Linked DNA regions of Arabidopsis thaliana. The protein of the gene in region 3 interacts with the protein of the main gene of each other region in a biochemical or structural test. Each region holds a gene or a part of one and is shown on either strand. Other genes may lie near its edges.

Region 1 (6,373 bases), on a different chromosome or scaffold from region 3:
AATTATCTTACCGCATGTCTTGTGATCTAGAATTTCAGGATTCTGATGCTCGTACTGTTTTCCTGATATTTGGAATCTCATTTGTAATTATTTCTTTTTACTGTTGTCCTGTCTTATTTCAGGGGATAGACAAGTTTGAGACTGATTTGACTACTTTACATCCTATTTTGGCGGAATGTCGAGTTATTAAATCAAGTTTGGAGCTTCAACTAATACAGTTTGCAAATGATATAAGTTCTGAAGCTCATATAGAGGTGTGAATTTGATTTCCTAACATGTTTTCTCTCGAATTGTTGTTTGTCTTTTTAAATGGTATGCTTAGACCAATGAATGAAATAAATTGATGAAACGATTTTCTTATCTGTTGGCTTGTTCACAATCTGTCGTTTTTGTATCATCTTACGACTTAGGTTTCTGACCTCAATTCTTCTTATCCACTCCATGTAGACAGTTTTTTTCTTCTCTTTTTGCAATTCTCTTACATCTTTCCAACTTTAACCATGTGTTTTTTAATCCACATTAAGGTTATGAGGAAAGTCACACCGGGCATGAAAGAATATCAGATGGAAAGTATGTTTTTGCATCACAGCTACATGTACGGTGGCTGTAGGCATTGCTCGTACACATGCATTTGTGCAACAGGGGATAATAGGTAAGTTTGGTGGATAAATCTTGTTATTGCTGAATATGCAGAAATATTCCTTTTCAGGTGTTTGTACTGAAAAACTAACAAAACGATGTTAAATTGTTTGTAGTGCTGTTCTTCATTATGGGCATGCTGCGGCTCCAAATGATAGGGTAAAGGGAACACACATTCCTCGCTTTTTTAGTTCTCTCATTATTCCCTGTTTGAAAATGTTTTAATACTTGTTGCAGACTTTTGAAGATGGAGATTTGGCATTGCTTGATATGGGTGCTGAATACCATTTTTATGGGTCTGACATAACATGCTCATTCCCCGTGAGTTCTTCTAGCATCAAATCTATTCTTAATTTTCCTCTGAATTGTCTTTGCACCGCATTGACTTGTGTTTTTAATCTTGTTTACATGAACATCATAATTTGCTGAATGTAGTTATCTAGAGAAAGTGGTCTCTAATATTTATCAATTGGTGTGCAGGTCAATGGTAAATTTACAAGTGACCAGAGTCTAATCTACAATGTAAGTGCCTTACAAGATTGGTGCAACGTGGATGTATTAGAAATGTGTGCTCTATTTTTTGTCTTCGCACAATCCAGAGTTTGGTGAGTCTCTTGAAGCTTTACATCTGAATAAGTTTCTCTGATTTTGCCTTCCTTTCAGGCTGTTCTGGATGCACATAATTCTGTAATCTCTGCGATGAAGCCAGGAGTAAACTGGGTGGATATGCACAAGTAAGTCTTACTGAGATGCTATATAGCTCTGTTCTACTATGCATGCAGATGCAGTAATTGGGATTGACAATGTAAGCGTAAACTCAGTTGCTTTGGTCCATTTTGATTTATCCTCTTGTTAGGGAGATAAATTGAAATACATCTCCATATGGTTATTCAGCTTTCTTTGTCGACTGAAGCAAATTAATGTACAGGTTAGCTGAAAAAATCATCCTTGAGTCACTGAAGAAGGGGTCCATACTCACTGGGTAATTCTCTCTGTGTTAGACATTTCAATACTCTTCTCTAAAGGTTAATTCATTCTCATGGTTTCGTTCTCTGTTCCTAGTGATGTAGATGACATGATGGTACAGCGCTTGGGTGCTGTTTTCATGCCTCATGGACTAGGTCACTTCATGGGCATCGACACTCACGATACTGGTGGCTACCCAAAGGTACATCAAATCTTTTTTCAACCCAATAGTATCATCACGTAAATAAAACCACAGTCCCTGTGTCTTACCCGTTGCTTTGATCTTTCATTCTTTTAGGGAGTGGAGAGACCAAAGAAACCTGGATTGAAGTCATTACGAACTGCAAGAGACCTACTTGAAGGAATGGTAAGGGCCGATTGTTTCAAGTAGAAATGCTTTTGGTTCTTCTCATTTATCGTCTCTGTTCATTGTCCTAATCGTATTTATGTCAGGTAATAACGGTGGAACCAGGATGCTATTTCATCAAGGCATTGCTGTTCCCAGCCATGGCAAACGCAACAACCTCTAAGTTCTTCAACCGTGAAACAATAGAGAGATTCAGAAATTTCGGAGGTGTCAGAATCGAAAGCGATTTGGTAATGTCAAATTCATATTCACTACAACGTCTACAAGTTAAAACACTCTCAAGAGTAATGTCATATACAATAATCTCATTTTGTTGTATATGTGTGATTTCTTTTTTAGGTCGTTACTGCTAATGGCTGCAAGAACATGACGAATGTTCCACGAGAGACATGGGAGATCGAAGCTGTGATGGCTGGAGGGCCTTGGCCACCGACCAAGTGATCGTAGCTACTCTTAGGCAGCTTATGGAAATTAAAAACTTGATAAGTAAAACTCAATAATACAACCTTTATTTTTGTTAATGGGAATAAGGAAAAATTGCCTGTGTTTTACTAATCTTGTACATGTAGTTTATTTTGTTTCAGTGTCTTGTTTGTGTGGTTGGATATTAAACCGATTGAATGTTCAAGTGGACAGATAAAATCTAACCGGTTTGGTGCTTGTCGACGAAAACCGAACCGGTACAGAAAATATCTTGAGCACAATTTTAGTTCTAATATAAAATTCATTAACAAGAGAGAAAAAAAAAACTTCAAATTAAAAGCTTCGTGTCTTCATAAAACCCTAATCTCGCGACTTCGTCTCTATCCCCAAAAACCCTTTCCTCTCTTCCTTCTTGTGTGAGACCGAGAAAAAAAGATGACTAAGAACAGTAACCACGACGAGAATGAGTTCATCAGCTTTGAACCAAATCAGAACACGAAGATACGCTTTGAAGATGCTGATGAAGACGAAGTTGCTGAAGGGTCTGGTGTTGCCGGCGAGGAAACTCCCCAAGATGAGTCCATGTTCGACGCCGGAGAGAGCGCCGACACCGCTGAAGTAACTGATGATACCACCAGTGCCGATTACTACTTCGATTCTTACTCTCACTTTGGTAAATTCCCTTTTTTCAAGTTCTATTTTTTTCCTTGTGCTCTTTGGTTATGAATTCTTACTAAGAGTTGAATTTGGTTCCACTTTTTTTTGCAGGAATCCATGAAGTAAGTATCGAGGACAAAGCTCAGTTTTTTTTGTTATAGTTTTTGTTCTAGAAGTTTAATGTAATTCATTGTGTTTTCTTCTGTATATATCTGATGACTGAATTGAGAATGGTATCTGACAGGAGATGTTGAAGGATGTTGTGAGAACAAAGACTTATCAGAATGTTATTTATCAGAACAAGTTTCTTATCAAGGACAAAATTGTTCTTGATGTTGGAGCTGGAACCGGAATTTTGTCTCTGTTCTGTGCCAAGGCAGGAGCTGCTCATGTCTACGCTGTATGTCTTCAATCTTTCAGTCTCTTTTTTAATAATCATAAGTAAGAAGAATCTTTTTCAATTTTGACTGATTTGATTGAGGATGTTTCTTAATAGGTTGAGTGTTCTCAAATGGCTGACATGGCAAAGGAGATTGTTAAAGCTAATGGATTTTCTGATGGTAGGTCTTTTATCCATGTTGAGTTGTATTCAAATCGATAACTTCTGTTCTGTAACATGATTTTTGTTTTATCGATGCAGTTATTACGGTATTGAAAGGGAAGATTGAGGAGATAGAGCTTCCCACTCCTAAAGTGGATGTGATTATATCGGAATGGATGGGTTACTTTTTGTTGTTTGAAAATATGTTGGACAGTGTCTTGTATGCTCGTGATAAATGGCTTGTAAGTTACAGCTCCACCTTGTTACATGAGATTCTTAGTTACCAAAACCAATTAAATGAAATCTTCTTGGTCCTGTGTTTTTATGGATAGGTTGAAGGTGGAGTTGTGCTACCAGACAAAGCCTCTCTGCATCTTACAGCCATAGAGGATTCAGAGTACAAAGAAGACAAAATCGAATGTGAGTGCATTGATTTGACACGTTTTCTCGTCTTTTTTTTTCCAACATTGATCTTGATGTCTGTTGAGATTTGCATTTTTAATTTCTTTTTTGTTGTTCTGCTACAGTTTGGAACAGTGTGTATGGTTTTGACATGTCATGTATTAAGAAAAAAGCTATGATGGAACCACTTGTTGACACAGTCGACCAAAACCAAATCGTCACCGATAGTAGGCTTCTAAAGGTATATAAGATATCATATGATGATGATTAGTAGTATCTCTTTACCTGTGTGACTAATGTTCATTTCATTATTCTTATGGGTTTGTAACAGACGATGGATATCTCAAAGATGTCCTCTGGTGATGCTTCCTTCACAGCTCCCTTTAAGCTTGTTGCACAACGCAATGACTACATCCACGCCCTTGTAGCCTACTTTGATGTATCGTTTACCATGTGCCACAAGCTGCTGGGCTTCTCAACAGGTTCAGATCTCTACAATCTTGTGCTAGCTCTGAGTATTCTATTTTTTTTTGGTGCAAAGAAATGGCATGTTATCGAATAACTTGGTTTGAAGTTTAAACATAGCACATTGTTTCATTATGATCTGAAACTTGCACTGAACAACCATATGTGTCACATGCAGGACCGAAATCCCGAGCTACACACTGGAAACAAACAGTTCTGTATCTAGAAGATGTGTTAACCATATGTGAGGGTGAGACAATCACTGGAACTATGTCCGTTTCTCCTAACAAGAAGAATCCTCGAGACATTGACATAAAGCTAAGCTATTCTTTGAATGGCCAGCATTGCAAGATCTCAAGGACCCAACACTACAAAATGCGTTAAAGTTCTCTCATAAGAAGCAGAACTTCAGAAGATACAATTCTCATATTGTGATTTAGTTTTTATATTTCTTTTTCTCCAGATTACAACTTTCCATTTGCTTCACATTGCAACATTTGCTTCATCTCAAGTTAAATTAATGATTTTGCTCTAAACCATCTCGTGTATGTTCCTTGTTGATCACAAAACTGATGTCTGTCAACACTTTTCAATATTCTCTCCAAAAGATTATAGAAACTAAAGGAAATCTACAAAAAGCAAGTGTGAAGAAAGAGTACATTAAACAAAACCAGTTTAAAACTGTTTCTATAGCTCAGACTTTCCGGATTTAGGTTTCTTTGAAGAAGACGATCCAAGTCCTTTCCACCATCTCCGGACCCGGTTTGACACTTTCTGTGCATGTCTCTTCAGAGCCTCACCTTTCTTCTTGAACTCCTTAGTGATTGTCTTCTTCAATTCTTCTGTTTTACTCTCTTTCTCTTTCAAAACTTTTCCCTAAAAACCAACAAAACCATACAAGTGTTTTAGAGAAAAGAAAGAAAGATCTCGGTTTCCTTCTTCTTCATGAAAGTTTAACCCAAAGATTTGATCATTTGAAAAAAGAAACTTTATGTACCAAGTTCTTGGGAAACTTATCATCTTCTTCCTCATCTTCATCATCGTCGCCATCATCATCTTCATTACCGATATTCCCCTTCTCTATATCTTCTCTAGAGTATACCTTCATGCCAGGTGCTCCTGGCATACCCTGAACATAGCGGTAAAGAGTAAGCTTAAGATCATTCCATGGATATGCATTCCTTGCTTAGTGGTATTGATTGACGTCATCAAAGATTACCTGCATAGATCTCAAAATCTTGTCCATTTCAGCATCTTTTGATGGTTTTGCAACAAATGGTTCTCCAGGAACCCGATCCTGGCAAAGATAAAGAAACACTTATCAAAACGTCATCTCCACAGCAACAACATAAGAACATTCACGGACACAAATCACCAAAGATCCACATTTCAGTTTCAATAAAAGGTACCTTGGGAACAGGAGGAGGTTTCTTGCTGCAAGCATCGGTCAAATCTTTGCATAGATGATTCACCAGTGAAACAAGATCAGGCTTAGACTTGTAAATATACTCTGCAACATCAGTGTCTGAGTAACCAATGACCTGCAACACACACCAACAAACAGATGAAAATCACATTTATCCAACTCTAAATACTCAAAGAAATGCAAATCCAATTGTATTAACAGCTGAAAGACCACATTAAGCTAACCTTTTGACAAGCATTCTCGATCGTCTTGCACTTGGAATTACACATCCCTTCTTCTTGTTGCTCAACCAGCTACGAACCCAAAGTCAAAACAAACAAATTGTTAACAGAGTCACCAGCATTGAGATTCAACAACAAATGTACAAGTTTCCACTTATTTCAATCTCAAAGCTACAATGTAATATTTTCGGATCAAACAAGAAGGGAGAGAGGTAGAGAAATCTCAATTACCACAAGATTATCGCCTTTCTCAACAATGTCAATCT
Region 2 (6,149 bases), on a different chromosome or scaffold from region 3:
ATCTTCTGCCACTTAGGGTTCTTGAGTGTAGCACTATCATGTGACATGTTGTGATTGGTAACTTGCAGGAATACAAAAATATAATTGCAGAGGATATGTGGCCGAGCTCAATTTGTTTTGGACAGGCAAGGTCATGAATGTTTTTGGACTTTGATAGGGCAAAATTACCTAGATTTTTGGAATGGACATTTTGGAGTGGACTTAGGTTTTTCCCCCCTAGCTTAGCATCTTTCTTTCGTAGCATAACATATTCTAGCTGTTTTGTATAAGTGTTACTCTTCTTTTCTTAAAGAGTGTTTAGCCAAAACTTTACTCACCTGTCTCTAATATTAGCTGTGCTTTTTGGGGTTCTCTCAGGGTTACACCATATGGACCTGACTACATGTACTCACAGTCTCAGGTAGGCGCTTGAAATTATTGCAGTTCCTTCTTACCTTCTTTATGCATTTTAAACTGTTGTGGCTTTAGTTATAAACTCATGTCTTCTCTTCATGGTGTTGTAGGGTTTCTATGGTCCTTACATGGGTCAACAGTACCTTCAGGTTTATGGAGTACCTGGGGCAGTTAACTCACCGGGTTATCAATATGGGCAACTGAGCCATACTATTCCTGGTGCTCACGGTTATACAGCGGGTCAAGGTTATTCACATCCAGGAAGTCATGTTCTACAGCTTGGTGCCACTTCACCTATGTCTGCTATTCAATCTCCATACCCTTCTCCTTCAGCTCCAACGCACCAACGTGTCATCGTCCAGACTCCTCCTCAGTATATACAGAGTAGCGGTTCTGATCAGACAACAGGGTGATCAACGTAAGCAAATTCTTGGATTCTTTTTTGATGGTCCAAATTGGATTGAAGTTCGTACACACTTACACGACCTCATTGTTATTTATCGGTTTTCAGTTAGTAATCCTTAAAGATTGCAGAAAAGGGAAGAAGTCCAGGACAAATGCTACTCTGGCAGGCTTCCTGTTTAAGCTTAGCACATTATTTATTTTCGCATTCTAGAGGTAAGCTTGTTTCCTTAGGTGCCCTTTTAAGTTTCAGTACTTGCAAATGTTTTCGATCTCACCTCATTACCGTCGTTACAGGTATTAAGTAGTCTTGCTCACTGAAGAAGTCAAAAAAGGGGGAAAGGAGAATGGAAGTTTCAGGGTTTGTGCTTCTGTTATCTTTAACCCTCTCATCCTATGTATATAGCCCACAACAAGCTTGATGGCATAAACTATATGAATAGTTTCACCCCGGAAACAAGGGTTTTCGCGGTAAACTGGTAGGAATAAGTTTGGTGTACAAAGAAAGTTCATATATATATAAACACATACATAAATGCATATAGAATGGTGGAATCAACATCTGATTCTTTTGGGTGGTAAAAGTAGTCTTCTTACTACACACTCTCTTAAGGCATATGAGTGTTGGTAATATTACTAGGTAGATTCTCACGTCCTCTTGAGTCAAGTCCTCTGCATTGTAAGTAAAAAATTAATGACTATGGAGCTCACTTCAGCTTCTTTGTCTGTGCATAAATTTTAGCTCCAGGATTCTTCTCTTTTCTATGTCTGTACAGTTTCTAGACTGATAAATTGTTCTTCTCAATTGTTTCTGTCTATGACTCCTATCTTCTACTCTGATTCCTCTGTTTATACTCCATTTATCACTTCGTTTACCACTTGCTTTCAAGATGATAGATTCGAGTTTTTAGTTAAATTCATCGTCATTTAAACCATTTTTAAAGAGTCCAATTTTTGGGGGTGGATGTAATTACGTTTCCTTCTTTGATCCATCAAAGTAAAAATTGATCAACACATAATTAAAAGGATTACATAATGAGGTAGTGGCATAGTAATGATGTTTTGATGTCCGAGAAAACTGATTTAGAGATAGTTTAGTCAGCACAAACAAGATTAATGTTCCCATTTTCCTACAACTTCCTCTCGTTTAAAAGAATAAGCTTTATCAATGAGAATAAGACATACAAAACATTTGGGCCTTATACTTTTTAAAAGGCCCAAAAGTGCTTCAACAAGACGGCACGTGGTGAGCCAGGTGACAAGTGATACCTCCAAATGCGGTTATTTGCGGGACCCACGTGGTAGCCACGTGTAGCAAGCAAAGGACCCCCATCCTCTTTTGCATTTTTCTCCTTACACCAAACATTTCTTTCTCGCAGAGAAATCTCTCTTCTCTTCACCTCCATCATCCTCCTCAACCCAAAAACATCACGACGAAATTAAAAAAGGTAAAATCTGCCACTGAGAATTTTCTGTCATGCTTAAGCTTCGAATTTCTTCTCGTTTTTTCTCCATGAATGTTGCTTGAATTTTCACAATCGCTGGACTTGTAAGGTTGAAATTGCATAATCCCTATTTATCTTCTGTGGTGGGAACAATGTGGGATCGATTTTTGCTGTAAAAAGTACAAACTGGTTCGTATTCAAGCGTAGTAACCTTTAGATTTAAGGAAAATTGTTGACTTTGAGCTAACTAGTGAAAAATTGTTGGATTGCGATATTTTCTGGGTAAAAATTGGTTTTTTTTTTTTTTTTGTATTGTGAAGAGTATATATGAAGCAGAGTTACTAATCTTTCTCAAAATATCAACATAGTCTTTTCAAATGTAGATTTTGCTGTTAATAAGTGAAGTTTTTAGGGTTTAATTTGAAGATGTTTTCTCCTTAGTAATGATAAGGCAAAACATTATGGAGACTAAAGTCATTGTTAGAAAAGGGTTAAACTTAAGAGATCTAGGGACTAAAATGATGGAGATTTTCAATGCTATGACTAAATTGGCAAATTTGAGACACTTAATTATGTCCTGTAACTATGTTTTTGGAATGTCCTTATTGCTTCCATTTGTGACAATGTTGCCACTTTCATATGTAATGCAGGTTCATTGATATCGAAGATATGAGTCTGTATAGCGACGGATTATCGAGTGATCAGTATTTCTTGGTTAATTTCATCATGAGCAACTACTTGGGTCCTGATGTCTATTCTGATAACCCAAGATGTTCATCTTCTCAAAGATTAGCTAGAGGTTTGCCACCTTACACTTTGATGCACATTGGATCTTCCTCTCTAACTGTTTCCCAGCTACAGAACTTGTACTATAATGTACTCAGAAACGCCAAGTCCAGCCTCCTTCTTCATCCAGACATGATTTATATGTATCTCAAGGGATATCTACCATTGGAACCAAGTGGAAAGTTTCCTCAGTTCACGCATTTTTTCCCGACGAATCTTCACCCGCAGAAAAGGTATTCCCCGAGCCACGAGATTGTGAAAGGAATTGTTGTTATTGATGATCCTGCAGTAGGGTTCATAAACAAGGAAGAACTCCAAAGGTTCAGATGCTTGTCGCGTTTGGACGACCTGAAAATCGATAGAGTCACGTCTTTATCTCCTCGGGTTAATCTGGATGAAAGCCGGGAAACTGAGCAGGACTGTTCAAGAAATGGTGATGCGACAGCTAATGGAGTTGTCACTAACGAGGACTACAATTCATCTGGTGAGCTTCAAGAAACGTGCAAGAGAAAGGAAGGGGAAGACGCGGTTGCTAGTTGCGTAATCAGTGAACCAGAAAGACTTTCGGGAGACATACCAGAAAGCCAGGGAATGAAGCAGGACTGTTCAAGAAACGGAGAATCTGCATTCAGTGGAATTGTCTCTGACCAAGACTACTATTCATTTGTAAAGCTTCCAGAAACATGCAAGCGAAAGAACAAGGAAGAAGAAGCAGTTACTGGTCATGCTGTTAGTGGAACGAGTAAAACCCCTGAAAGATTTCGTGAGACATACAAGAGAAGACGGTTCAAGAACTCATCAAAAAAGGCAACAAACAAGAATGGTGAAACTCTTATGGAAAGAGAAAAAACAGATAAGCCTATACCTTTTTCTTCGGAGATGAAGGAAAGCGATGCAGAACCGTCGGTTGTAACTACTGGAACAGCCAGTAAAGAAACTCTAGGATCATCTGTTGGTGTTGTTGACATTGGTGTCAACAAGGTTGCTTACTTTTTTCAGGTTGCTTTGCCCGGTGTCCGCAAAGATTACGGTATTATTACACTTTGTTGCACATCTAACTACTTCCATACACGCCACATCGGGTCTAAGTGCTAACACATGAATTGGTTTGGTCCTTTTGTGTGCAGGTGAATTCAGCTGTGAGATTGAATCAGATGGAAAGGTTATACTGGAGGGATCAACTACAAGAGGCGAAAAAAATATCAAGAGACATTCTCGGGTGTTCGAGATGAATATCCGGAAGCTGTGTCCGCCTGGACCATTCAAGCTGTGCTTTAACCTCCCGGGACCAGTTGATCCGCGGCTATTCTCTCCTAACTTCCGATCAGATGGTATCTTCGAGGGAGTCATCATCCGACACAAAAACTCTTAATTAAACCGGAGGTTCCTATACAAGTTTAGAACTTAGGATCTATGTAGATCTTTTATCTTTATGTTACTGGACATAGAAGGAAAGCGAATCAAACAGCATGCAAGGATAAATCTTTTACTTTTAGGACGTGACTCTGTAGATTTTGCATGATTTTGCTAAATATCCGTTTTCACAATGATTTCATCAAACTGAGAATCCGTTAATATTGTTTCTGTGTTGGCAGTGTTGCTGTTACTTGTTAGTAGTTACTGTTCTCATTTCTCAATAAGTGATCAAACCGAAACTAAAACAGTACTGAACCGACGGTTTAATTTGGCTAGAAAAATTCAAACAATTATGATGTTGTGCCTTAATGTGACAACATAGATAAAAAGAAGCTCTTACAAACAAACTGACTAAGTCTTCCTCGGAGTCAAAATCATAAGCATATTCCATGCTCATACCAATAAAGTAATGAAAATGACAAAGAGACTTATTAATCGTTATAAAGATCCTTGTTCTGTTTCACTCATCATGAATTCGAAATTTCGATATAACAAACCAAAAGGAAAGAAGCAAAAAAAAAAAAAAAAAGCTCTGGATTCGGAATCTCAGATAAAAAAACCAACGATGCCGATAAAGGTATTGTCGTCGCTTGATGTAGCTCGAACACAATGGTACCATTTCAAAGCGATCATAGTAGCGGGAATGGGTCTATTCACCGACGCATACGATCTTTTCTGCATAGCACCGGTCATGAAAATGATTAGTCATGTTTATTACAACGGTGACTCAATCAACACAGCCGTTCTTTCAACTTCTTACGCCATCGCTTTACTCGGCACAGCCACGGGTCAACTAGTCTTCGGTTACCTCGGTGACCGAGTCGGTCGTCGCCGAGTCTACGGACTTTGTTTGATTATTATGATCCTTAGCTCCTTTGGTTGTGGCTTTTCCGTGTGCACCACTCGTCGGTCTTGTGTTATGGTTAGCCTCGGTTTTTTCCGGTTCTTTCTTGGTTTAGGTATCGGTGGTGATTACCCGCTCTCGGCTACCATTATGTCGGAGTTTGCTAATAAGAGGACACGTGGCGCGTTTATCGCTGCGGTGTTTTCGATGCAAGGGTTGGGGATTTTGGTTAGCTCTGCCGTGACCATGGCTGTTTGCGTGGCGTTTAAGAGAAGTGGCGGTGGTTTGGAGGTGGATGCGGCGGCTCCGACGGAAGCTGACTTGGCCTGGAGACTTATACTTATGATCGGTGCTCTTCCTGCTGCATTGACGTTCTATTGGCGAATGTTGATGCCTGAAACCGCAAGGTCCGTCCACTCTTTTCATCCGTTTGTCTTTTTATATATTTTACCTATGACAAATCAGAAAGGACGTAATGCACAAAGAATGGTCTTGAAAACCTTGAAATCACTATTTGTCCCACATTAAAAATCTTGAAATCAACTAGATTTGATAATATCGTTTTATAGAAACATAATTGCATTATTTGTTCTGTTTATGTGAACGTTTCTCTAGTTTAAGAACATATAGTACCTCATTTCAACCCATAAAATGAACATTAAACTATTTTTTTCAAGCAATGATATAACTGTTCCGATCTCTCACACACGGACACGCACACACATACTATTGGATTCCTTAAAAGAAGTATTACTAGTTTTGACATATTTTAATAGCTAGGTTTTATAAATATATGTATCAAATATTGAAAGGGTTACAAATTAGTAGTTTGCTTCAATGGAGTCATTGACTTTATAAGGGAT
Region 3 (5,767 bases):
CTAACTTAGACACAGGTAAATCTCAAAACAAGGGTATGCTTTGGTCATCATAATTGCTTTCATAGTTATGAATGATATAAAATATGTATGTTGATGAAGGTGTGTGGCCTGAGTCAAAAAGCTTCAGCGATGAAGGGTATGGAGCTGTTCCAGCTAGGTGGAAAGGTAGATGCCACAAGGATGTTCCTTGCAACAGGTTCTCATCTTAATTTAGTTGACTTCTTTCTGCAAATATAGAAATATACAGAGAATGTGATTATTGATTCGTTACATGTAACCAGGAAGCTCATCGGTGCTAGATACTTCAACAAAGGTTACTTAGCTTACACAGGCCTTCCTTCTAACGCCTCCTATGAAACCTGTCGTGACCACGATGGTCACGGTAGCCACACTCTTTCCACCGCGGCTGGTAACTTTGTTCCCGGAGCCAATGTGTTTGGTATCGGGAATGGAACAGCCAGTGGTGGTTCTCCTAAAGCTAGAGTCGCGGCTTACAAGGTGTGCTGGCCCCCTGTGGATGGCGCGGAGTGCTTTGATGCTGATATTTTGGCAGCGATTGAGGCTGCCATCGAAGACGGCGTGGATGTTCTCTCGGCTTCAGTGGGAGGAGATGCTGGAGATTACATGAGCGATGGTATAGCCATTGGATCCTTCCACGCCGTCAAAAACGGGGTGACGGTTGTGTGCTCTGCTGGAAATTCAGGTCCTAAGTCTGGCACTGTCTCAAACGTTGCACCATGGGTTATTACAGTCGGTGCTAGCTCCATGGATCGGGAGTTTCAAGCTTTTGTTGAGCTCAAAAACGGCCAAAGCTTCAAGGTTTGATACTTTGACCTCGTCTTCTTTTTTTTTTCTTTCACTTTTGGTTCCTTTCTTTCTTGTGCTACAAGTAATTAATTTTGAAAAGCAGGGAACAAGCCTCTCAAAGCCTTTGCCTGAAGAAAAGATGTATAGCCTCATCAGTGCTGCAGATGCTAATGTAGCCAATGGAAATGTGACAGATGCGTAAGTAAACGCTTGATATCTATTTTTTGGAATGTGTATAATTAAGTAAGTACTAATTAACTAGTGATGGTTACATAGATTGCTATGCAAGAAAGGTAGCCTAGACCCGAAGAAGGTGAAAGGGAAGATCTTGGTGTGTCTGAGAGGAGACAACGCACGTGTGGACAAGGGAATGCAAGCGGCTGCTGCTGGAGCTGCGGGAATGGTTCTATGCAACGACAAGGCGAGTGGAAACGAAATCATCTCAGACGCTCATGTTCTTCCTGCTTCACAAATTGACTACAAAGATGGTGAAACTTTGTTTTCTTACCTAAGTTCCACAAAAGATCCCAAAGGTTACATCAAAGCACCTACCGCTACGCTGAACACAAAGCCTGCTCCTTTCATGGCCTCTTTCTCTTCCAGAGGACCAAACACCATCACACCAGGGATCCTCAAGCCCGACATCACTGCACCCGGTGTCAACATCATAGCCGCCTTCACGGAAGCCACGGGCCCTACAGACTTAGACTCTGACAATCGAAGAACTCCTTTCAACACCGAATCAGGAACTTCCATGTCCTGTCCTCACATCTCCGGTGTCGTTGGTCTTTTGAAAACACTTCACCCTCATTGGAGTCCTGCAGCTATCCGCTCAGCCATCATGACAACTTCAAGAACCAGAAACAACAGACGTAAGCCCATGGTTGATGAATCCTTCAAGAAAGCAAATCCCTTCAGCTACGGTTCAGGCCATGTCCAACCCAATAAAGCCGCCCATCCTGGTCTTGTCTATGATCTCACCACAGGAGACTACTTGGACTTCCTCTGCGCCGTTGGCTACAACAACACCGTGGTTCAACTCTTTGCCGAGGACCCACAGTACACGTGTCGCCAAGGAGCCAATCTTCTCGACTTCAACTACCCTTCAATCACTGTCCCAAACCTCACGGGCTCTATCACCGTCACCCGAAAACTCAAAAACGTTGGACCACCTGCTACCTACAACGCTCGTTTCCGAGAGCCACTTGGAGTTCGCGTCTCCGTGGAGCCAAAACAGCTCACGTTCAACAAAACTGGTGAAGTGAAGATATTTCAGATGACTCTTCGTCCCTTGCCAGTGACGCCTTCAGGCTACGTTTTTGGAGAGCTGACGTGGACTGATTCACATCATTACGTTAGGAGTCCCATCGTCGTCCAACTTTCAAGCTAGCCTCATTCTTCATTCTACTTCATCGTTCTCACTTTTCTTCTATGAATCATTTTATATGTTTGGATAATATTTTAATGTTCAAAAAAAAAATAAAAAAAATTGAATTAAAACACATTCTTTCTTAAAACAGTTTAATTTTATTTTGATGTTAACAAATAACTATCGGCATCATATAATTCATTACCTAAAATAAAATGTATAGCTAGTAAACCAAAAACATTGATTATTTTTATTATCTTTGTGATTAGCATATTTGATTTGCATGTGATTATTAACTTTATTTTTCATTAATCATCTTCTAATTACAGAATTTGTATTAAGGTAAAAATTTGCCAAGTGGACATATGGTGCTTTTTGCGTGTCGTTACGTGAAAGCAGTGACAGAGAAATAAGAAGTGTGTGTGGCTTGGACGACCAAACTAAAAACCACACTCTCGTCTCGGGCTTTTGGGTTAGACCCGGCAACGAAGCGATGCAGACGAGATCCTCTTCCTCTCCTTCGGCTAACCACCGCCGCGAAACCCAGTTGCAGATCGCGGATCCCACCTCGTTTTGCGGCAAGATTATGCCTGGTTGGACCGTCGTGAATCGGCCGCGATCTAGCAACAACGGTGTTGTTGATACGGTAAATATGAGCTACATCAAGCAAATGTGAAACAAAATTTGAGCTTTTTCTCAGAATTTGAACAATTAGAGCTAATTTATGTCTTTTGTGCAATGGATATGTATGACCAAAGTGTAATGCTTGGATCAGATTAGTGATTGTGTTGCCACAGAGCTCTTGATTGTTGCTTGAGAGGTCTATGAGTCGTTTCTTTGGGTATATGCTTGAGTTGAAGATAGATCTTGTGGTTCTCTTCTGAAAAGTCTCATCTTTACTTGTTTTTGTTTTGTTTTGTGGGCAGTACTTTATCGAGCCAGGGACTGGTAGACAGTTTTCATCACTAGAAGCTATTCACAGACACTTGGCTGGAGAAGTAAATGACAGACGCTTGACTCGAGCAGGATCCTTTTTCCAGGACAAGACAAGGGTTTATGAAGGATCAAGAACCAAACAGGTCCTTTGTTCTGATTTGAAATTACAGAAGCATATGGTTCTTCTTGGATCAAATACTTAAAATCAGTGTGTTTATGCTTTTGCAGGATCACTGCGGAGTTGAATATGCCTCCAAAGGTTTCCGATTGCCTAGAGGATGGTCCGTTGAGGAGGTTCCGAGGAAAAACTCTCATTATATTGATAAGGTACTAATGTAGAGACTTGCTATAGCTATTTTAGACCCTATGCATAAGTTACTGAGTCACATAACTAACAACTGAGGTCGGTTAAATGTGGGATGTGAGAAGAGCAGAATGTGAAAAGGATACGTTGAATTGGTGGTTTTAGGATTGAATCTCTGGCTAAACCGTTAGTATTGTTCTTTGCAGTATTATGTTGAGCGAAAAACAGGAAAGCGCTTCCGTTCTCTTGTTTCCGTTGAGAGATACTTAAGAGAATCCCGGAACTCTATAGAGCAGCAGCTTAGGGTTTTACAGAATCGCCGTGGCCATTCCAAAGATTTCAGGTTACCTGATGGATGGATCGTTGAGGAGAAACCGCGAAGAAGTTCCAGTCATATAGACAGGGTACATATCTGATACTTAGGTAGTTTGGTTATATTTGGTTTGTGTCATATAGTCCAAACGTTCAATACCGTTAGTACTGTTGTTTGCAGTCATATATTGAGCCAGGAACAGGGAATAAATTCCGTTCCATGGCAGCCGTTGAGAGATACTTGATATCAGTCGGGAACATTACACTTGACTCGGTTTCTATGGTGCATTCGGAGCGGCTTCCTGTAAGTTTTCTAAGCTTAAAGATAGATGAAGTTTGATTTTAAGCTTTACATCATTTAGAGGTAAAGAAGATGAACCATTTCTATACAAGGTTGTAACGGTTTGACTGTGGCAGCTTCTGATGAACCGGAATGGTATCAGATTTCAGAGCGAAGTTATTGACCCAAACCCACCGAAGAAAGTAAAGTGGGTTCTTACCGGTTCCGGCGGAAACATGTTCACTGCGAATGTACGCGGATCGAATGTCTCTAGCTTGGTTAAACATACATGGTCCGAGGCATTTGTTTCACTGATCGAAGACCGCTCTTAACCGAACTAGGTTTGTCAATTTAGTTTACGGTTAACAAGAGCTAATTCCAGTCGGTAGTCTGTTCAAGTTCATACTTCGGTCTAGTTTATAACTGACCCAAATAACCGGCTTTTCCAAAATTTTCAATTTCATATTCGGTGTGAACCGGATTTTGGTTATTCGGGCAGGTATGTTAGTGCTCATATTAAGTTTGGGGACTTAAAATTCGAAGTTGTCTGTAGTAAGGTGTAAATAATGGTTCAAAATTCCAAGCTTGATGTGAAATGGTTGTCTAAGAATGATTTTGTGTGCTTCCTCTCTAATTTTTGTATTAACAACTTCTCCTCGTTAAACATACTCGCCAAATACTTAGTATGAATCTAACTATAAATGAAAATCAACATTTTGTGTACGCCCCAAGTGGTTCTCACGAGTATAATATAGAAATTTACAAGATTATTTCGATTATGAGAGTCCATCGTTATTACTAACGGTTAAAGCTAGTAGCTCACCTTGGTTTCTTGGATTGAGACTTGAGAGGGTTTATATGACAATTATATCGTATTCCATGTGAGATATAATTACCTCTCTTCACCGGTTTTTGCTGTGAAACTGTAGAAAAAATAATGTTAACTGTAGTAAAACTGTGAAGCACAACGTGTACACGCAATCACAGATCTTTTTACCAAAATATGTATGAATTCACTTCAATGAAGTCAGTCACCTACTGCAAGATCTTATGTATATTTATATAATTATCTCTATATCTATCCTTGAATGTACCGCAATAGACTAGATATATGTCAAATATAATACAGTGTACTTTATTTTGAATTTGGTCTTAACCTTTTTCTTATTTTTGTCAACCTTTACTTTTAACTCAAAAGCAAATATCAATAAGTGAATTATCATATGCTTTGTATGTGTAATTCTATATTTAATTCCTTTTTTGATGTGGAACTTTGACAAAATAAACCAAATTCTTAAAAGTCTGGTTTCCATACTAATGAATGCAGATTGTGGGAATTTATAATGTATTTCTCCTTTTGCATAGAGTTTAATGATGTACAATGAAAAAGATTTTGAATAACAGTGCTATTTAAGACTTCTAGAAATGGGTAAGTGGAAACTTCTAAGATTTCAAAGTCAAAAGACAACATTGTTGTTGGTTATTGAAATTTCTTTTTGGTACGATTATTTTTAAAATATTGTGTACGTGCTGCAAATTGATATTGGAGTTGACGCCACAAAAGCCAAATAGGCCAGAATTAAAGGGCATAGAGACTTTTCCCTGAATAATTTGTAGCCTCAAGGTACCACCCCAACATTGACTCTAAGCTATTTACACTTTCAAGGAAAACTATCACTTTACCACATTTCAATGGAGTATTCAATAGTATATAAATAAATGTTTTCGATGTATTTCTGGTAATTTCTGTAAACTAATC
Region 4 (5,339 bases), on a different chromosome or scaffold from region 3:
GTAACTTTTTATGAAAAAGCATAAACCAATAAACAATCTTTCACCATCTTAACTTACAAGAAAAAAGAAAATACTACATAAGCTGCAATGATCCTAGCTTACTGTATTGAACTCAACAAATCCATCTCAATCGGTTGTGCTGTTCGGTCTTCATAGTTAAGCTTCTTCACTATACCCTAAGGTATACCATCTGACCCGAATTTACCCCTAGCATCTTCGTTGCTAACAAAAGTGAAGCTGGAAACAGATGGTGAAGGGCCCTAGAGGGCATAAGTTATGCCACTAATTCAAAGAATATTAATCTACAGATGTGTTGAATCATGAAACTATAAATAATATTAGGTGAGGTGAATAACGTATGGAAGTTAAGTTATAGTGTTATTGTGAAGGCATAGAAATTTTCCTTGTTGCTTTTTTAGCTATATGATTACTTGTAGAAGTTAAGTAATTGAGTAGACAAATGTAGTAGGTATTGTGGAAGTTGATTTTTACAAAATAAAGATTTGAGTTCTTGAATTTTAGGTAATTGATTTCCTATCATAATTCCCTTACCATATCATCTCCAATTCTTTTTTCATCAGGCATATCAAGTATCAAATAGTTAAGTTTTTACAAAGTAACATAAACTAATCAACAATCTTTGTGATGACAATGTAGCTTCCAACAAAAAGAAAATCCTACTTAAGCTGCAGTGATTCTAGCTTACTTTAAAACTCAACAAATCCATCTCCATTTGTTGTTTCTGTTCAGTCTTCGTAGTACACCTTCTTCACTACGCCTTCAAGTACACCATCTGACCCAAAATTACCGTTAAATTCTTCATTGCTCACAGGACCAGGAAGCTGAAAGTTGATGGTGAAGTGGCCTGGTGGGCATAAGTTCTGTGTTAGCATTTTGAAGATCTGATTGTGTTTGCAAACTGTCTGCTCCCCCGTCGTTGTTGCTCCCTTTATCATAATCTTACCGTCTGGTTCTATTTCGCAGCTGAATTCCTCTGCATATTTAACAAGTCAGATTCAGCAGAAGACAAGTAAAAGCACACGAAACAAAGCTCAAAGCACCTCATAAACACGCTTATAAACCGTGTGCAAGGAAATAATTGAGTAAACACACTTATAACACAAGGCTGAAACTTCTCAAATCTATGTGCAAATAATATTTGCTCTGAATGAACAAATATCTTTAACTAGCTTTAGAAATGATAATTTGGCATGTCATTTGGAAACTTCACAAAGATATGGAAAGGTGGTAAGACTTACTCTCATCCCTTGAAACACCAGGCAATGCAACACGAAAGTAATATGAGTCTTCGGATTCAGCAATATCAACCAACCCAATCGTTAGTCCAATCTTCCCCATTGCAGCACTTCCCGTGAGAGCAACTCCGGTTTTCGTTTGACTGATAAGGTTAGAAAACTCTGAACTTGAGTCAGAAGGCAGAAATATCATCGCAGGCCCTCCTACTTTCTCTACACTATCATTCATCCTGTTACTCGACATGGATGCATGAGTTACTGGACCAATGTAAGGCATACTGTTCAATGGAGTCACTTCAAGAATTTGTGGGTTCCTTGTGTTATCCGGAAAACTGTTGTTTTCCCTCATCCCATTTAGACCACTTGAAGACCTGAAGCACAACAATTCCTTTTATCATACACTTGACTCAGATTCGCTATATAACAGAATCACTCACGAAACTACAACGATTCTTTAAAACAGCAGCGGACTAAAAAGGCTTAATCTTTGAAACATTATAAGGCTATAGAGGTAGCTAGATTCTAGAATCAGTAAGAGAGCAAGAGATTGAACTATATTGGTTAAGATCCAATAAGCAAGCTAAGTCTTGTGATGTATAACCACTATTAATGCTTACGAATATTCATACAAACGGAAACTTCTTATACTTTCATGACCACAAATTAGACAAACGAAGAGGCAACATTCATCATTTGTCCTCTTTTATGTTATCGAAAAGGTCTTACACAACAATGTTAGATACACACATGAGTCTGACCCAATTTTGTAAGCAAGGGTTTAGCCAAGTAATGAATATTATACTATCTTAGACATAAGTTTAAGTTTTAAACCTGAAAATAAGTTTGGCACACAAGTATTTCATCAAAGTTTCAGACTTTTAGCCAAAAGTAACCTAATTTCAATCAGTGAAAATGTACAAAACCCATAAAGAAAAATTAAATCTTTCACAGAATCAAACGAAAATACACAAACTTGGGTTATATAAGAGCAAGAGTAGAAACAAAACTGACGAATTTTTGAGAAAAATTAGTTACTTTACCTCATCGGAGACGATGTTTCAGAAGTCGCCGGCAAAAATCTCCGAGAAGCTTTGTTGATTTTTTTTTTTTTTTCTCTTAATTTTCTTTAAGATGTACATTTGGTATAATCGCCACGTGGACAAATCAGTGCCGAAAGAATACCATTTTTACCCTCTTCTTGCCATGTCTTGAGTTTTTTTCCCAAGTCGCTTTCTGTTTCTCTGATGAGAGACAACGAAATTCACTAAGCAGCAACCCTAAATTTACACTCCTGGTTAGTAACATTTTATCTCAATTTCGTTTATTTATCAACAAATTATGTTTCTATTTGCTTCAATTTCTTAAATCTCCTTAAAAAGTTTCGTTTTTTCCCACCCATTTTGATACGAAATGTGTCCAATTTTTATCCAATTTGGTTATAATTTCTTATTGCATGTCCAGTATTTTTCAAATTTTCTATTAAAGTTTCAATCTTTTTGTATAAACACTCATAAAGAATCAAACTTTTGATGTTGTGTTGTGTGTTTAGGATATGAGTGATACAATGCCTGAGATCGTGTCTCCTTTAGTAGCTGAAAACTCTCAAGAACAAGAAGAAAGTGTGTTAATTTCATTGGATATTGAAGAAGACAAGTTGTTTCTCTTACATTTCATCATAGGAACTTACTTTGGACCAGATTTAAGAAAACAACATCATCGTCCAAAGCAATCAGCTTTTCAGATTCAAGCGTTGAAGAATGTTGTGGTAGATGAGTTAAGTGGCTCACTTATGAAGAGAGCTGAGCTAGAACGTGTGTATTATCACATTATTAGAAATGTTGATCCGTCTCTAGTCATGAAGCCGAAAAAGTTACGTGAATATTTCAATGCGAAACGCAATGATTCGAACAGGGATTACCCTCTTTTCGTGGATCTTTTTCCGCGAAAATTGCACCCTGAAACCCATGTTAGGCATAAGTTTAAGTTTATCCGGAGCATTGTGTTCATTAATGATCCAGATACTTCTTGTATGAGAGAAGAATGTGTTGCGCGGTTTAAGCGGCTTACGGGATTGGATAGCTTTGCTTTGAGCCTTAGTGTTGATGTAACTAAAAGTAACGGCGTTGTTGCAGCTAATGAGGTTAAGGTTGAGATTGATGAGAGCGTGGAACCTGTGAAAGAGGATAATGCGGGTACTTGCACTAGCGGTGAAGAAAGTGATGTTGCTGCAAAACCTGAGGTGAAATCTGAAGCTCATGGTGGACTAATGGTGGGACTGATGGACATTGGTGAATGTGATGACGCTTATCTCTTCCGTGTATCGCTTCCTGGTGTGAAAAGAGATGAAAGTGAGTTACTTTTTGCTTTATCTAGAAGATCTCTCATCCCACTAAACCAGTTTCTTGATTTGATGAGTGTGAGATATTGCAGGATATTTTAGCTGTGAAGTAGAAGACAATGGGAAGGTACTAGTTAGAGGAGTCACTACAACAGGCGGGAAGCGAGTTAAACGGTATTCTCATGTGTTTGAAATGCAAACGCGGAGTCTCTGCCCTCCCGGTAACTTTTCTGTCTCGTTCCGCCTCCCCGGTCCTGTCCATCCACACGAGTTTTCTGGCAACTTTGGAACAGATGGAATTCTTGAAGGAGTCGTAATGAAAAACTTGCAGAAACAAACTGTGTAAACGTTTGGTAGTGATATAGGAAGCGTCGGTTTTTGGTTTTGGTTATGGGTAGGGATAAGTACGGACTATTTAAACTCGAGCTAAGCCATTTTGAAAACTATGTGTAAGGACTGGTTAGTTTACAATATCACTGTAGCTTTGAACTTTATAAGTAGTAATCTAGCCTTTTGTAAGTTCAATTCTCAGTTTATGAATTTGTTACATTGACCGAAAACAGTTTGATGACAAGATAAACCAAACTGAATAACAATAGATAAATCCATGGATCATAAAACAGAAATTATTCTACTACACCAAACTTTTTATGTCGCAATAGTTTTCTATTAACATTCTTCTTCTTGAGTAGATCCACCGGGGAGAGCTTCGAATTAGACGGCTCTGCGGAAAACAAACAAGAACAATCAAATCAAGTTTTGTGTCCATGTAACGATAAAGCACAAATCTAAACCAAGAACTCACAGTTTATTAGGCCAAGCTAATTGTCAGGATCCTGCTGCTCAGGTCCTGGTTGTTGCCACATTGGCTGACCCATATACGGGTTCGGCGGATACGCGCCCGGGTTACCCATAACCATTCCCGGGTTCCCAATTGGAGCTGTTCCAGGAGGCAAGTATCCATACGGATAACCCGCAGCTGTAGCAGCTTCAGCACCAACACCACCCAAGACTTCATCACGAAGATCCTCCCGAGGAACAATATCCACAAGAAAATCAAAAATATCAGTTCTAGTCACCGCAGCCGCGATATCATTCTTCTGCAACGTCCTTCTCTTGTTCTCCTCAGTATGGTTCCAAGACCTTAACGTAAGCTCCAGAATAAACATCTCGCAGGCCCTGGCGAACACAACAGGCGCCTCGGCCGAGATCATACGCACATCTTCATCAGCTTTCATGATTTTCTTGATTCTTGCCAATGGAAGGCTATGGTTCTTGAAATCAGTGGTTTTCTCAATCTCTTTGAATTGAGTCTCCCAGAAAGATTGAAGCTGTTGAGTGAGCTGTTGTTGTTGTTGCTGGTGGATCTGATGGTAAGCTGGATGGTCTGAACCGGTTGGTGTAGTGGTCATGGCGTTGGTTTGATATGGGTTTGAACCATAGTTCATAGCTGATGATTGTCCTTGTTGATCCATTTCTCTACCAAACTAAGAGAAACATTTTTCAAAGTTTTTAATTTTAATTCTATCATCAAAAACACTAATGAATTTATAAGTTTCATATTGAAAACAAAAAAAAAACACAACTTAAACACATTAACAATAATCAGACAAGATAAAAATCAGACAAAACAATAATCAGACAAGATAAAAATCAGACAAAAGAATGCAAAAGTAGTGAAATTAACAAAATAAAAATACATTTCATCAAAACAAGAGAAACGATCATAAATCAAAGTTTTTTTA

Evidence for each region.
Region 1: the proteins of MBD7 (region 3) and PRMT11 form a complex in vitro, tested with the Arabidopsis thaliana proteins (one study listed by BioGRID).
Region 2: the proteins of MBD7 (region 3) and AT1G20870 form a complex in vitro, tested with the Arabidopsis thaliana proteins (one study listed by BioGRID).
Region 4: the proteins of MBD7 (region 3) and AT1G54840 form a complex in vitro, tested with the Arabidopsis thaliana proteins (2 studies listed by BioGRID).

What each region holds. Positions count from the first base shown.
Region 1 is NC_003075.7:14,488,909-14,495,281, forward strand, and holds PRMT11 (arginine methyltransferase 11), read left to right. Parts: upstream 1-2,713; 5' UTR 2,714-2,830; coding exon 2,831-3,068; intron 3,069-3,163; coding exon 3,164-3,174; intron 3,175-3,296; coding exon 3,297-3,452; intron 3,453-3,548; coding exon 3,549-3,612; intron 3,613-3,692; coding exon 3,693-3,835; intron 3,836-3,925; coding exon 3,926-4,013; intron 4,014-4,120; coding exon 4,121-4,236; intron 4,237-4,326; coding exon 4,327-4,477; intron 4,478-4,638; coding exon 4,639-4,844; 3' UTR 4,845-5,093; downstream 5,094-6,373. Other genes in the region: AT4G29490 (Metallopeptidase M24 family protein), read left to right, coding at 123-254, 525-652, 756-798, 877-960, 1,120-1,161, 1,303-1,373, 1,568-1,621, 1,702-1,807 and 3 more; AT4G29520 (nucleophosmin), read right to left, coding at 5,148-5,336, 5,458-5,589, 5,680-5,757, 5,870-6,001, 6,111-6,179, 6,339-6,373. UniProt on the Arabidopsis thaliana protein: Methylates (mono and asymmetric dimethylation) the guanidino nitrogens of arginyl residues present in a glycine and arginine-rich domain. Type I arginine methyltransferase active on both histones and non-histone proteins.
Region 2 is NC_003070.9:7,257,536-7,263,684, reverse strand, and holds AT1G20870 (HSP20-like chaperones superfamily protein), read left to right. Parts: upstream 1-2,204; 5' UTR 2,205-2,243; intron 2,244-2,890; 5' UTR 2,891-2,909; coding exon 2,910-4,056; intron 4,057-4,153; coding exon 4,154-4,398; 3' UTR 4,399-4,662; downstream 4,663-6,149. Other genes in the region: AT1G20880 (RNA-binding (RRM/RBD/RNP motifs) family protein), read left to right, coding at 358-400, 504-806; AT1G20875 (uncharacterized protein), read right to left, coding at 2,004-2,204; PHT1;8 (phosphate transporter 1;8), read left to right, coding at 4,852-5,693. UniProt on the Arabidopsis thaliana protein: Acts as an anti-silencing factor that prevents DNA hypermethylation and gene repression.
Region 3 is NC_003076.8:24,093,325-24,099,091, reverse strand, and holds MBD7 (methyl-CPG-binding domain 7), read left to right. Parts: upstream 1-2,559; 5' UTR 2,560-2,669; coding exon 2,670-2,822; intron 2,823-3,102; coding exon 3,103-3,255; intron 3,256-3,340; coding exon 3,341-3,439; intron 3,440-3,622; coding exon 3,623-3,820; intron 3,821-3,909; coding exon 3,910-4,032; intron 4,033-4,145; coding exon 4,146-4,340; 3' UTR 4,341-4,733; downstream 4,734-5,767. Other genes in the region: SBT5.4 (Subtilase family protein), read left to right, coding at 1-15, 100-196, 282-819, 911-1,005, 1,084-2,197. UniProt on the Arabidopsis thaliana protein: Transcriptional regulator that binds CpG islands in promoters where the DNA is methylated at position 5 of cytosine within CpG dinucleotides.
Region 4 is NC_003070.9:20,451,402-20,456,740, reverse strand, and holds AT1G54840 (HSP20-like chaperones superfamily protein), read left to right. Parts: upstream 1-2,474; 5' UTR 2,475-2,550; intron 2,551-2,805; 5' UTR 2,806-2,808; coding exon 2,809-3,604; intron 3,605-3,686; coding exon 3,687-3,940; 3' UTR 3,941-4,148; downstream 4,149-5,339. Other genes in the region: AT1G54850 (HSP20-like chaperones superfamily protein), read right to left, coding at 747-994, 1,260-1,627, 2,297-2,301; NF-YC3 (nuclear factor Y, subunit C3), read right to left, coding at 4,416-5,069. UniProt on the Arabidopsis thaliana protein: Prevents DNA hypermethylation and transcriptional silencing of transgenes and of some endogenous genes. May act as a molecular chaperone of IDM1, regulating its H3K18 acetylation activity.